2 linked regions of the Macaca fascicularis genome follow. The protein of the gene in region 1 purifies or fractionates together with the protein of each later gene. This does not show direct contact. Links are inferred from orthologs where the notes say so. Each region holds a gene or a part of one and is shown on either strand. Other genes may lie near its edges.

Region 1 (4,526 bases):
GGTTCTGGGAGAGGATGCATTCAAGCCTCTGCAGCCTAGGGGACAGGGCTGCTTGTTCGGTTATTCCTGCATCGGAGCTCCAAATCCCACCAAAGTCCTGACTCCAGGTCTTTCCTAATGCACAGTAGTCAGTCTCAGCTTCAGCAGTATTCTTGGCTGTATGTTCTCTGGCAGACAGAGGCAGATGCACATAGTTTTAGGGAGAAAGCTGATGGGAAATCTTTGAGTGAAGCCACATGTCCCACCAGGAATAATTTATGCCAGGAAACCAAGAAGTCATTCAAGTTGTTCTCTGAGGTCAAAGACGCTGAGCACAGCCCAGAGCCAATAAAAGATTTGAGTCTCTGGTGAATTCATGAAGTGACCCCAGCTTTAGCTGCTGCAATTATGATTTTTATGGGACAGCAATTTCTTGCATCTCTACAGAGGAAGAGGAGGGGGAAGGGGAGGAAAGAGAACAGAGCGGCACTGGAATTTGAAAGGGGAACATCTCTATCTGAGGAGCCCCCACTGGCTTCAGAGGCAACTTACCAAGGGGTATTTAAAGAGATGAAAATTTCCAGAAATACCATTTGGTGCATCCTTTTGTTTTTGTAATATTAAACTCAGTTGAAATTATACTCTGACAGTTTCTCTCTTTCTGCCTCTTCCCTCTACAGAGTCAGGACCTGCTCAACTGGTTGAAACAAGATTTCATGGTGTCACCCATGAGAGAGGACTCAATGCCAAGGCCTGAGGTTATAGGGTGTTTACAGCAGTGGCAATACTCAGGGGTCATCGCCAACTGGTCTTGAGTTCCAAAGCTCTGATGGAGAAACAAGACTCCTTGATGTGTTACTGATCCCACTGATTCCAGGAGTCAAGATTAGCCAGGAAGCCAAATACCAGGAGTTGGGGTGGCACATCACCAGTCCAGAGCCCTGCCACGGATGTAGGCAGGAGCCCAGAATTAGGCGATCAGGAGCCAGAACATGATCACCAGGGCCACAAATAGGAAGAGGCGTGACAGGAACTGCTCATCCACATACTGGGGTGTGCCAGGGACAGCTGGAGAGACAGGAGGGAGAAAACAGGCTGTCAGAACACTGCAGCTATGCACACTACCCACTCAGGCCAGAAGTTGACAGCATTAATCTTTTATGTCTTTACAACATCAGAATCCTACACACAAAAGATTTCTTTTTTTTTTTTTTTTTTTTTTTTTTTTTGAGACGGAGTCTCACGCTGTTGCCCAGGCTGGAGTGCAGTGGCGCGATCTCGGCTCACTGCAAGCTCCGCCTCCTGGGTTCACGCCATTCTCCTGCCTCAGCCTCCTGAGTAGCTAGGACTACAGGCGCCCGCCACCGCGCCCGGTTAATTTTTTGTATTTTTAGTAGAGACGGGGTTTCACTGTGGTCTCGATCTCCTGACCTTGTGATCCGCCCGCCTCAGCCTCCCAAAGTGCTGGGATTACAGGCTTGAGCCACCGCGCCCGGCCTCTTTTTTTTTTTTTTGAAACGGAGTCTTGACCTGTCATCCAGGCTGGAGTGCAGTGGCACGATGTCAGCTCACTGCAACCTCCACTTCCCAGGTTCAAGCGATTTTCCTGCCTCAGTCTCCTAAGTAGCTCGGATTACAGGCATGCGCTACCATGCCTGGCTCATTTTCGTATTTTTAGTAGAGACGGGGTTTCACCATGTTGGTCAGGCTGGTCTTGAACTCTTGACCTTGTGATCCGCCCGCCTCTGCCACCAAAAGTGCTGGGATTATAGGCATGAGCCATTGTGCCCAGCCTTTTTTTTTCTTTTTGAGATGGAGTTTTGCTCTTGTTGCCCAAACTGGAGTGCAATGGCGCAATCTCGGCTCACTGCAACCTCTGCCTCCTGGGTTCAAGCCATTCTCTTGCCTCAGCCTCCTGAGTAGCTGGGATTACAGGTGCATGCCACCACACCCAGCTAATTTTTTTTTTTTTTTTTTTTTTTAATTTTTAGTAGAAACAGGGTTTCACCATGTTAGCCAGGCCGGTCTTGAACTCCTGACCTCAGGTGATCCGCCTGCCTCAGCCTCCCAAAGTGTTGGGATTACAGGTGTGAGCCACTGTGCCCAGCCAAAAAAAATTTCTAAACCCCAAATAATATCAGGCAAAATGAAACTATGTGCAACAATAACAATAAGGACAAGACATGGTTCAATTTATCATAAAAGGTTTGGCCTGCACATGCAAATAAACCAGCTGATTAACAGAAAACTCTTGCAGGAAATAATGAAAGCAAGCCTACTGTTTGTTAAGTATATTCTATCTGCTAAGTGTTTTGTACATGTTATTATTTGGTGGATATTATTATTTCCATTTTGAATAGGAAGCAGCTGAAACATAGGTTTGAGGTGACCTGTTCAACATCGAAAGGCTCAGAAGTCAGTGGCAGAGCTCTGCAGTCTCTCCACACACTGCCTCTCAAGGGCCCCACAGGGATTGCTCACAGGGATTGCCTTCCTTTTCCAGAAGAGAACTAGTATCCAGACAGGCAAAATGACTTGTCTTTCAAGTTAGTGGCAGACGAACTGGGGTGAGAACCTAAGTCTCCACTCCTCTCTGCTTTGAGAAAAGCTACCATTTAGAGCTCCCTGTCCTGACTTTGGGGGAAGGAGGATAAAATAATCTGTATCCAGGATGGTCAAATTGTACCAAGCATGACAAGGGAAAACTGTGACTGTGGCAGGAGAAAAAAGTGATCCAGAGTCTAGCCTGGCTGTGGAACTCTACTTAGCTGGGGAATCCAAGGTTAGCCTTGGACCAGGTTAGAAGCATGCAAGCTATCAGGCAGGTTCTTGTTGGCTTCACAGGGATATGCCCTTTCTTCAGGGCAGAGTACTCCCTATCTTTTGGGGTATCCTTCCTCTGAAAAAAAAATGTGAACAGAGGATAAACCTTCAAGGCAGATAAGGTAAGAAAGGGCATTCCCTAGATATCTTGGTGCTGAGATTCCTCAGTTGGATGCTCTAATGGATTCACGAAGACAGGCAGGCAGACAGTCAAGAAAGACTTACAGATCACCTGCTGTGTACCAAGGACCAGGGTGGGGATGAGAATAACTGGGATGACCCAATTACTGTCTTTAGGGCATAAGCTCTTGGCGTGAACCACACAATGGTCACTTCTGTACCATATGCTGTGTCCAGTGTACATGAAGCTCCGAGTGCAGGCAGAGCTCAACCGATCATGGCATCTCTGCAGGCTCCACAGTAAGGATTTTGGCTCGGGTGTCAGACTGTGATAGAGTTCAGGGCACCCACCTCATTGCCTCGCTCTATACTGAATGCAGATGGCACTTTCAAGCAGTAGGAGGGAGAAATGCAGCAGCAGTTGGTGGACCTAGGCATGGTTCCCACAGGGCTGAGGCTGCTTGTGACCAGCCTCATGTTGTGTCCTGAAGGAAGCTGGACAGAGATGCCAGAGAATGGATATGCCCTCACTCCTGATGAGTCATCGCACATTTCCATGTCCCCAGATGGTCAAAGTGGGGAGTAAATGTGCAGAACTAGGCTTTTCCTTAGCTGAGTACCACTTGTAGTTTTTCATTTTATAGACATGGGGTATGTCTTGGTAACATTACTGAGCATTTTCTGACCTGTTAAACAGAGCTAATCACACACTTGTTCCATAGGGTGGTTGTGATGATCCCCTGAGCTTGGAATGGAAAGTGCTATATATATGCCTAATAGTTGGTAAGGGCTCAACATTGTTACCGTGTCTATAAGTGATCTGAAAACAGCTTAAGACATTTTGAAAAGGCTGATTATCCATGTAGTGACAATTATCTGTAACTTATATACTGCTGAATTCCAAGGAGCTTTCAAGCAATATTACTAAGATATCTTCCTAATTTCTCAAGGAAATAGGCTCTTACCTGGAGGAGGCCGCCCATCGTTTATATTAAATGCTGTGGCAAATATCCCAAAGGGAAATGCCCCAATTCCAAAAGACATCTGGAAGCCACCATCTCCAAATCCAAATCCTTGAAATCCCTGTGTGGAAGAAAGGCAATTAAGGGCAGGAGAATTGGGCAGGTTTCTCCTGTGCCTGTTAAAACTCAACATACCTCATGACCTCATGTTGTCTTGCATGTGGCACCTGCCTCTTCTCCCTACCTTGTGCCACATGTTTCCAAGATGGGGGACAGCTTTTCCTCCCATATATACCCTGAAGTAGAGGAACTCTTGCAAGCCTTAGCTTTTAGCTTAACCCTTTTAGCCTTAGCTTCCAGCTAAGAATCTATGAATGGGCCAAAAAGGACTGGCTCTGACCCAGTGTGGAACAGTCTGCTGACATAAGTCAGCACTCTGAGGGCTTGAGGATATTTTCCAGAGTCCCACATTAGCTAGTAACATCTTCCACATGCTTTATAGCAGCAATATTGACAGTCACCCCTGTGCCCAAGGGAACATCAAAGAAGCTACACATTATCTTTAATAGCAAAAATGTTGAAACCTAATTAGCCAACAATGGAAGTCATGATCAAAATCTTGATACATGCATTCAAAGAACC
Region 2 (5,252 bases), on another chromosome or scaffold:
CATAATCCTCAGTGCGCTCAGGGCACTACTTGCAAAGCAATTCCACATGCACCATCTCTGATGCTCCTTACACGCCCGTGAAGAGTAGGCAGGGCTGGCATTACCTCATTTCACCGGTGGAGAAACGCAGGCCCAGAGCAGCTAAGGGGTTAAGTTAAGCCTGAGGTCATTAACCGGGTTAGTGGTCGCGCCCAGTCTGGAGCCCAGGCGGCACCGGCGTGCACTCTCCCGACCACCTCCCTCTCCCGCAGGAGGCGGCGGCGGCACAGAGGGTGGAACGCGGGCTCCGCGGCTGGACGGCGCTGGGTTCCATGCTGGGCGCTCCCACTCACCAGCGGCGTGACCTTGGACAAGTGGCTTCGTCTAAGTCTCCTCACCCGTGAAATGAAATCGCAACGCCCACCTCGCAGGGCGCGCGTGGAGCCCGAGTGCACCGCTTTGCGATGGCGTGGGGTCGGCGAAGTCGGGGGCCCCCACACCCACCCCGACCCAGGGACGCCAGGAGACCGTGGCCGCTGCCGCTAACACCAGCTCCCGCTGCCCTCCCACAGCCCTCCCCGCAGGCGCCACCCCTACATGACTCCCCGGGCCCTGCGCAGGTCGCTCCCTCAGTCGGTCTCGGGGCCCGGGGGCCGGGTTCCCCCCGCGGCCTCCTCATCGGCTGGCCACCGAGTCCGCCATCTTCCCAGCAGCCCCCAGATAGCCGCCCGGACACCAATCCCGAAACAGCTATCGACCAGCGGAGACGTGGCTCCCGGCAGGCACTGCGAGCCAGGGAGCCGTGAGCTCCGCCCGCGGGAAGTGCGCGCGCGGCACCGGGGGCGGGGCCACGGAGGCCGGCGCCAAAGCCAGAGCAGAAGGCAGGGGAGAAGGGAAAGCGGTGGGCCAGAGCCGAGGGCGCCGTCCGTGCCCTTCTCTCCCAAGGGGCGAGGAGTCCCCGCCCGCCATCCCGCACACACTCAGACACACTGCAAGAGTGAAAACTTCACAGTTACTTTAATCTGCACAAGTTCCGGGGAACTCCTATGCCCCTCCCCTTCACCTGCCTCCCACCGTCCTGGCGTCCCCAACTCAGGCCAAGGAGCTGTCAGGGATTGGAGGCGGCTGGGTCCTCCGGCAGAACGCTAAGACGGGCCCCGGGGGCGGCCGGGCTCTGCCCGGGGCCGAGGCAGCGACAGCAGATGCCCGACCCCGAGGAGCCCACTCCCAGTGCGGACTGAGGGCCAGCAGCCCCGGGAGGTGGCCCCGAGCCCCGGTGGTCGCAGGGCGGGGCCTCTGCCAGCCCCTGGAGTCTTCTGCGGCGCAGGGCTGGGCTCCAGGGCAGCGGGAAGAGGCAGGCCGGAGAGACGGGCCTGGGCAGGCAGCAGCTCCCGCTGCGGCGCGGGGAGCAAGGTCCAGAGGGGCCGGCGACGCTGCCAAACGCCCGCGGAGGCACTACGGGCGGTACATGGCGAAGGCCAGGAGACTGAGGAGCAGGGTGAAGCCGGCCAGGCCCAGAGTGGCGGTCAGGGGAAAGAAGGGCCGGTACTGGATCTGGCAGTACCAGAGCAGCAGCAGCAGCAGGAGCAGCAGGGGCAGCAGCAGGCTGCCGATTTCCAGCCCGGAGGGGCCGGGCTCGGACCCCGGCGGGCAGGGGGGATTTGGGGGGCCGACCCTCGTGGACACGTGGCAGTGGAGAACGCAGTTGGGAGGGAGGTGAAGGCTGCCCAGGGTCTGGGTGTCGTCGCCTAGCAGCTGCCCTTGGTAGATGAGTCGCACCTGCTGTTCCCGGCCAGGAAACTGGGTCCTGAGGAGAGAGGGACCTGGGTAAGAGAGCAGGCCTCAGGCAATCCTAGTCCCTGGCCCCGGAACAACACTCCCACCCTTCCCCTGCCCTCCACAACACACCGGCCCTGGCCTGGGAGGGGCAGACTGCCAAGGGAACAAGTGCAGTTGTGATCTGGGGCGCTCAGCGCCTCCAGTATAAAGGAGGGCTGGGTCTTAGGTCTCTCCTGGGGCCTTCTGTGACCACTCCCCCCACCCCTGTCTTCAGCATTGCTCCTGCCTCTTGACCTACGTACCTTTTCAAGGAGCCAATGGTGTCGTGGGGCCAGGCCCTGGCCACCTGCTCTGAATCATTGAGGAATTTCAGCCGTAGCACGAGGGGCTCCTGCGGGGAGTCCGGGGCTGGTGGTGTTGCTGTGACCCCCGTGCTGGGCTCTGGCTGTGCAGCTTGACCTCTGTGTCTCAGGCTGGGGGTCTCTGCCCCTGGGACCTCCGCTCTCATGGTGTCGGTAGCTGCCATGGCTGCGCTGGGCTGGGATGGCGTTGGGGTCCCTGACGGCTGGGGCAGTGGGTCCCCGCCCTCAGCGGTGTGCGTTGAGACCCAGGCGAGGGCCAGCACCAGAAGGCAGGCAAGCACCGAGAAAAGGACGGTCACCTCATCACCCACCCCTTCAATCAGGGTCATGGCGCCTGCCTTGCCCGCCGCGCTACCGAGCTGGAGAGGCACAAAGAGCCCGTGAGGCGCGGGCCCTCTGACCAGGAGCCCTGGAACCTCCACAGGGTCCTGCCCCCACCCCACCGCGACGCTCCCACCGTCCTCAGCCTGGGTTCCCTCACCCACCCCAGGGTACGGGCTGCTTTGCCTCCCAGTCGCCCCAAACTTGCCTCCGGGTGCCCCTTCCCATCGCCGAATCCCAAGTCCTAACTTTCTGTCATCTGAGCTCGAGGTCTTCAACCAGCTCCCAACTCACCCAAACCCTATCCCAAGGTAAGGGCCTAAGCAACGCCTCCCCTAAACTTCACCCCAGCCAAACTTCACGCCCATGCGTATCTATTCTCCTGCCCACTTCACCCCAGTGTGTCTACTCCTTCACCGACTTCACCCCATGCTCATCTACTCCGTTGCTAAAGTTTCTCCGAGGTGGGGGTAGAGCCTCTGTGCCCCCACCCCCCGCCCCCCGCATTACGGTTCACCTAAACCCCACCCGCGGCACAGGACTGCTTCCCAGGCTTCCCCCACAGCAAACGTCAAACTCCGCCCCTGGGCAATCTGGAGCCTCCGAGCGTCACCACCCACCCAGCTCGGTCCCCTCAACCCCACTCCGCGGAGGCCCAACTCCACGCCTTCTCTGGAAGTGTCTCCAAGCCCCGCGGGCTGCCAGACCCCAGATCCCGCCCGGAATCCGAGACTTCACGTTCCCTACCCCCACCCCTCATCACCCCTCCCACCTTCCCGCCCCCCGGAGCCGCAGGAGGGCACGGCGATCCAGGGCAGGGCGGGCGGGGCCCGGCCGGGGCCCTGGGCGGCGGGGTGGGCGCGGTCATGGCGCGGGGACTCACCGCCCGGCTGCCCCAGCTCCATCGCGGCCCCTCGGACACTTCCGGGCGGGAGGCGCGGAGGTCGCAGGCACCTGAAGCACCCCTCCTTCCTCGCCGCCGCGGCCCGGGGCATTGTGGGACTTGTAGTCCGGCGCCGCTCTGTCTCCGCCCTCCGCCCTGCGGACCCACGTGCTGGGCTCCACCCGCGGTTCTCTGCTCCAGCAGATCGCGGAGGGGTCGGTGGGGACGGCTTTGGGGGGTTGCGCTACCGGCTAGAGGTTTGGGCGGCAGCAGGGTCCGCCCCCTCCCCCGCCAACAGCCAGAGCATCTGTCACACCAGACACCGACGTCAGCTGAAGCACGTCAGAACACCCGTGTTCGTGATGCAGTGAGGAAGGCTCTGAGGAACTCAGGTGGCCCCTACCCTTATGTCAGAGTGGACGCCAGAAGGCACTTTGGCCACCAAAATTAATTCTTCAGCCCAGAGCCCAATATCCATGGGCTGTCCCACTAGGCTGGCCAGGGATACCCATCCTCAGGGCTGCCCCTTTCCTTGGTCCCCTCCTCCACCTTGCTCTTTCAGGACTGTGGAAGAAGCATAGACCTTGGAACCTGGCACAAATCCTGATCCCTTATCCTGTGCTTCTCAGCTATATGACCTTGGGTGGGTTATTGAATCTCTCTAAAGATTAATTTCTTCCTTTCTGAAACATACGTCGTAAGTCAATCATAAGGAAGAAATTAGATGTTTTATTTAAAAGTGTGAAAACTAAGGTACATGTCACACAGTAGCTATTTGCTCACCTCCGCTCAAAGCTGGTCTCTGGAATCGGATCCTGGTGTGTTACTGTGTGGATGACATTGAATCCCAGGCCTGTGGATATCTGTGGATTTTTCCCTCTGGGCTCCTGTAGCCACAGAGATCTCACATCCTGGTTTTTACAGGCCAGTCTTGATTTAAAATAATCTATCCTAGTTTTCCCATAGTTCTTGCCTACTGTGGGAGCAAGTGGCCCAAATATTGCCTTAGGAATGTCAGTCTAGATTGATACCATACAGAACTAACCTATCTAGTTCCATCCCTCCTGTTCATTCATTTATTCTACTAACATATTTTTAAAAGATATACTATGGCCAGGCGCGGTGGCTTATGTCTGTAATCCTGGCACTTTGGGAGACCGAGGTAGGTGGATCACTGAGGTCAGGAGTTCGAGACCAGCCTGGCCAACATGGTAAAAGCCCATCTCTACTAAAAAAAAAAAAATACAAAAATTAGTTGGATGTGGTGGAGGGTGCCTGTAATTCCAGCTACTCAGGAGGCTGAGGCAGGAGAATCACTTGAACGTGGGAGGTGGAGGTTGCAGTGAGCTGAGATCGAGCCACTGCACTCCAACCTGGGCAACAGAGTGAGACTCTGTCTTGAAATATATATATGCATATATATATATATATATATATATATATATATATATGCACACACACTATTTGCCAGGCATTGTGCAAGATACTGGGAATAAAATGGTGAATCAGACCATCTTCCTGCCCTCATGTGGCTCCATATACTAGTAGAGGAGCTAGTCGTGTGAACAGCCCATCAGAGCTATAACAGGTGTGTGCTAGTTGCTGGGGCAACACATTTGAGGAGCTCTTTGCTCTTAGTATCTCTTTTGGGAGGTATACCTGGTGCTACTTCCTGCTGTCAATTCTAATTAAGCATCTAAAAGAGATGTTGGATGTTACTTTTAGAATTATACATCAGAACTAGGTTTTCTGTTCAACCACTATATTTTGCAGATGAAACCCAGAGAGGGCACAAGATATCCTTAAGGTTATGCAGGGAGATAGAAACACAGACACAGATTCCTCAGGAGCTTAGGAGACCCTATGTGTTGATTAGCTTGCACCAGGTGCTTTGGAAGGTACAAGGAACTCAGGAATAGTGACTGGGT

What was found. The genes of interacting proteins can lie anywhere in the genome.
Region 2: the proteins of RNF185 (region 1) and TMUB1 purify together in Homo sapiens (affinity purification with mass spectrometry; 5 studies listed by BioGRID and IntAct, with this or other methods). This does not show direct contact. The link is inferred for Macaca fascicularis from reciprocal best matches to the Homo sapiens genes RNF185 and TMUB1.

The regions. Positions count from the first base shown.
Region 1 is NC_088384.1:20,439,949-20,444,474, forward strand, and holds part of RNF185 (E3 ubiquitin-protein ligase RNF185), read right to left. Parts: intron 4,006-4,526; coding exon 3,888-4,005; intron 1,048-3,887; coding exon 950-1,047; 3' UTR 1-949. UniProt on the Homo sapiens protein: E3 ubiquitin-protein ligase that regulates selective mitochondrial autophagy by mediating 'Lys-63'-linked polyubiquitination of BNIP1.
Region 2 is NC_088377.1:192,360,395-192,365,646, forward strand, and holds TMUB1 (transmembrane and ubiquitin-like domain-containing protein 1), read right to left. Parts: upstream 3,365-5,252; 5' UTR 3,310-3,364; coding exon 3,214-3,309; intron 3,163-3,213; exon of another isoform or gene 3,062-3,162; intron 2,480-3,061; coding exon 2,061-2,479; intron 1,787-2,060; coding exon 1,435-1,786; 3' UTR 978-1,434; downstream 1-977. Other genes in the region: FASTK (fas-activated serine/threonine kinase), read right to left, coding at 577-658. UniProt on the Homo sapiens protein: Involved in sterol-regulated ubiquitination and degradation of HMG-CoA reductase HMGCR. Involved in positive regulation of AMPA-selective glutamate receptor GRIA2 recycling to the cell surface.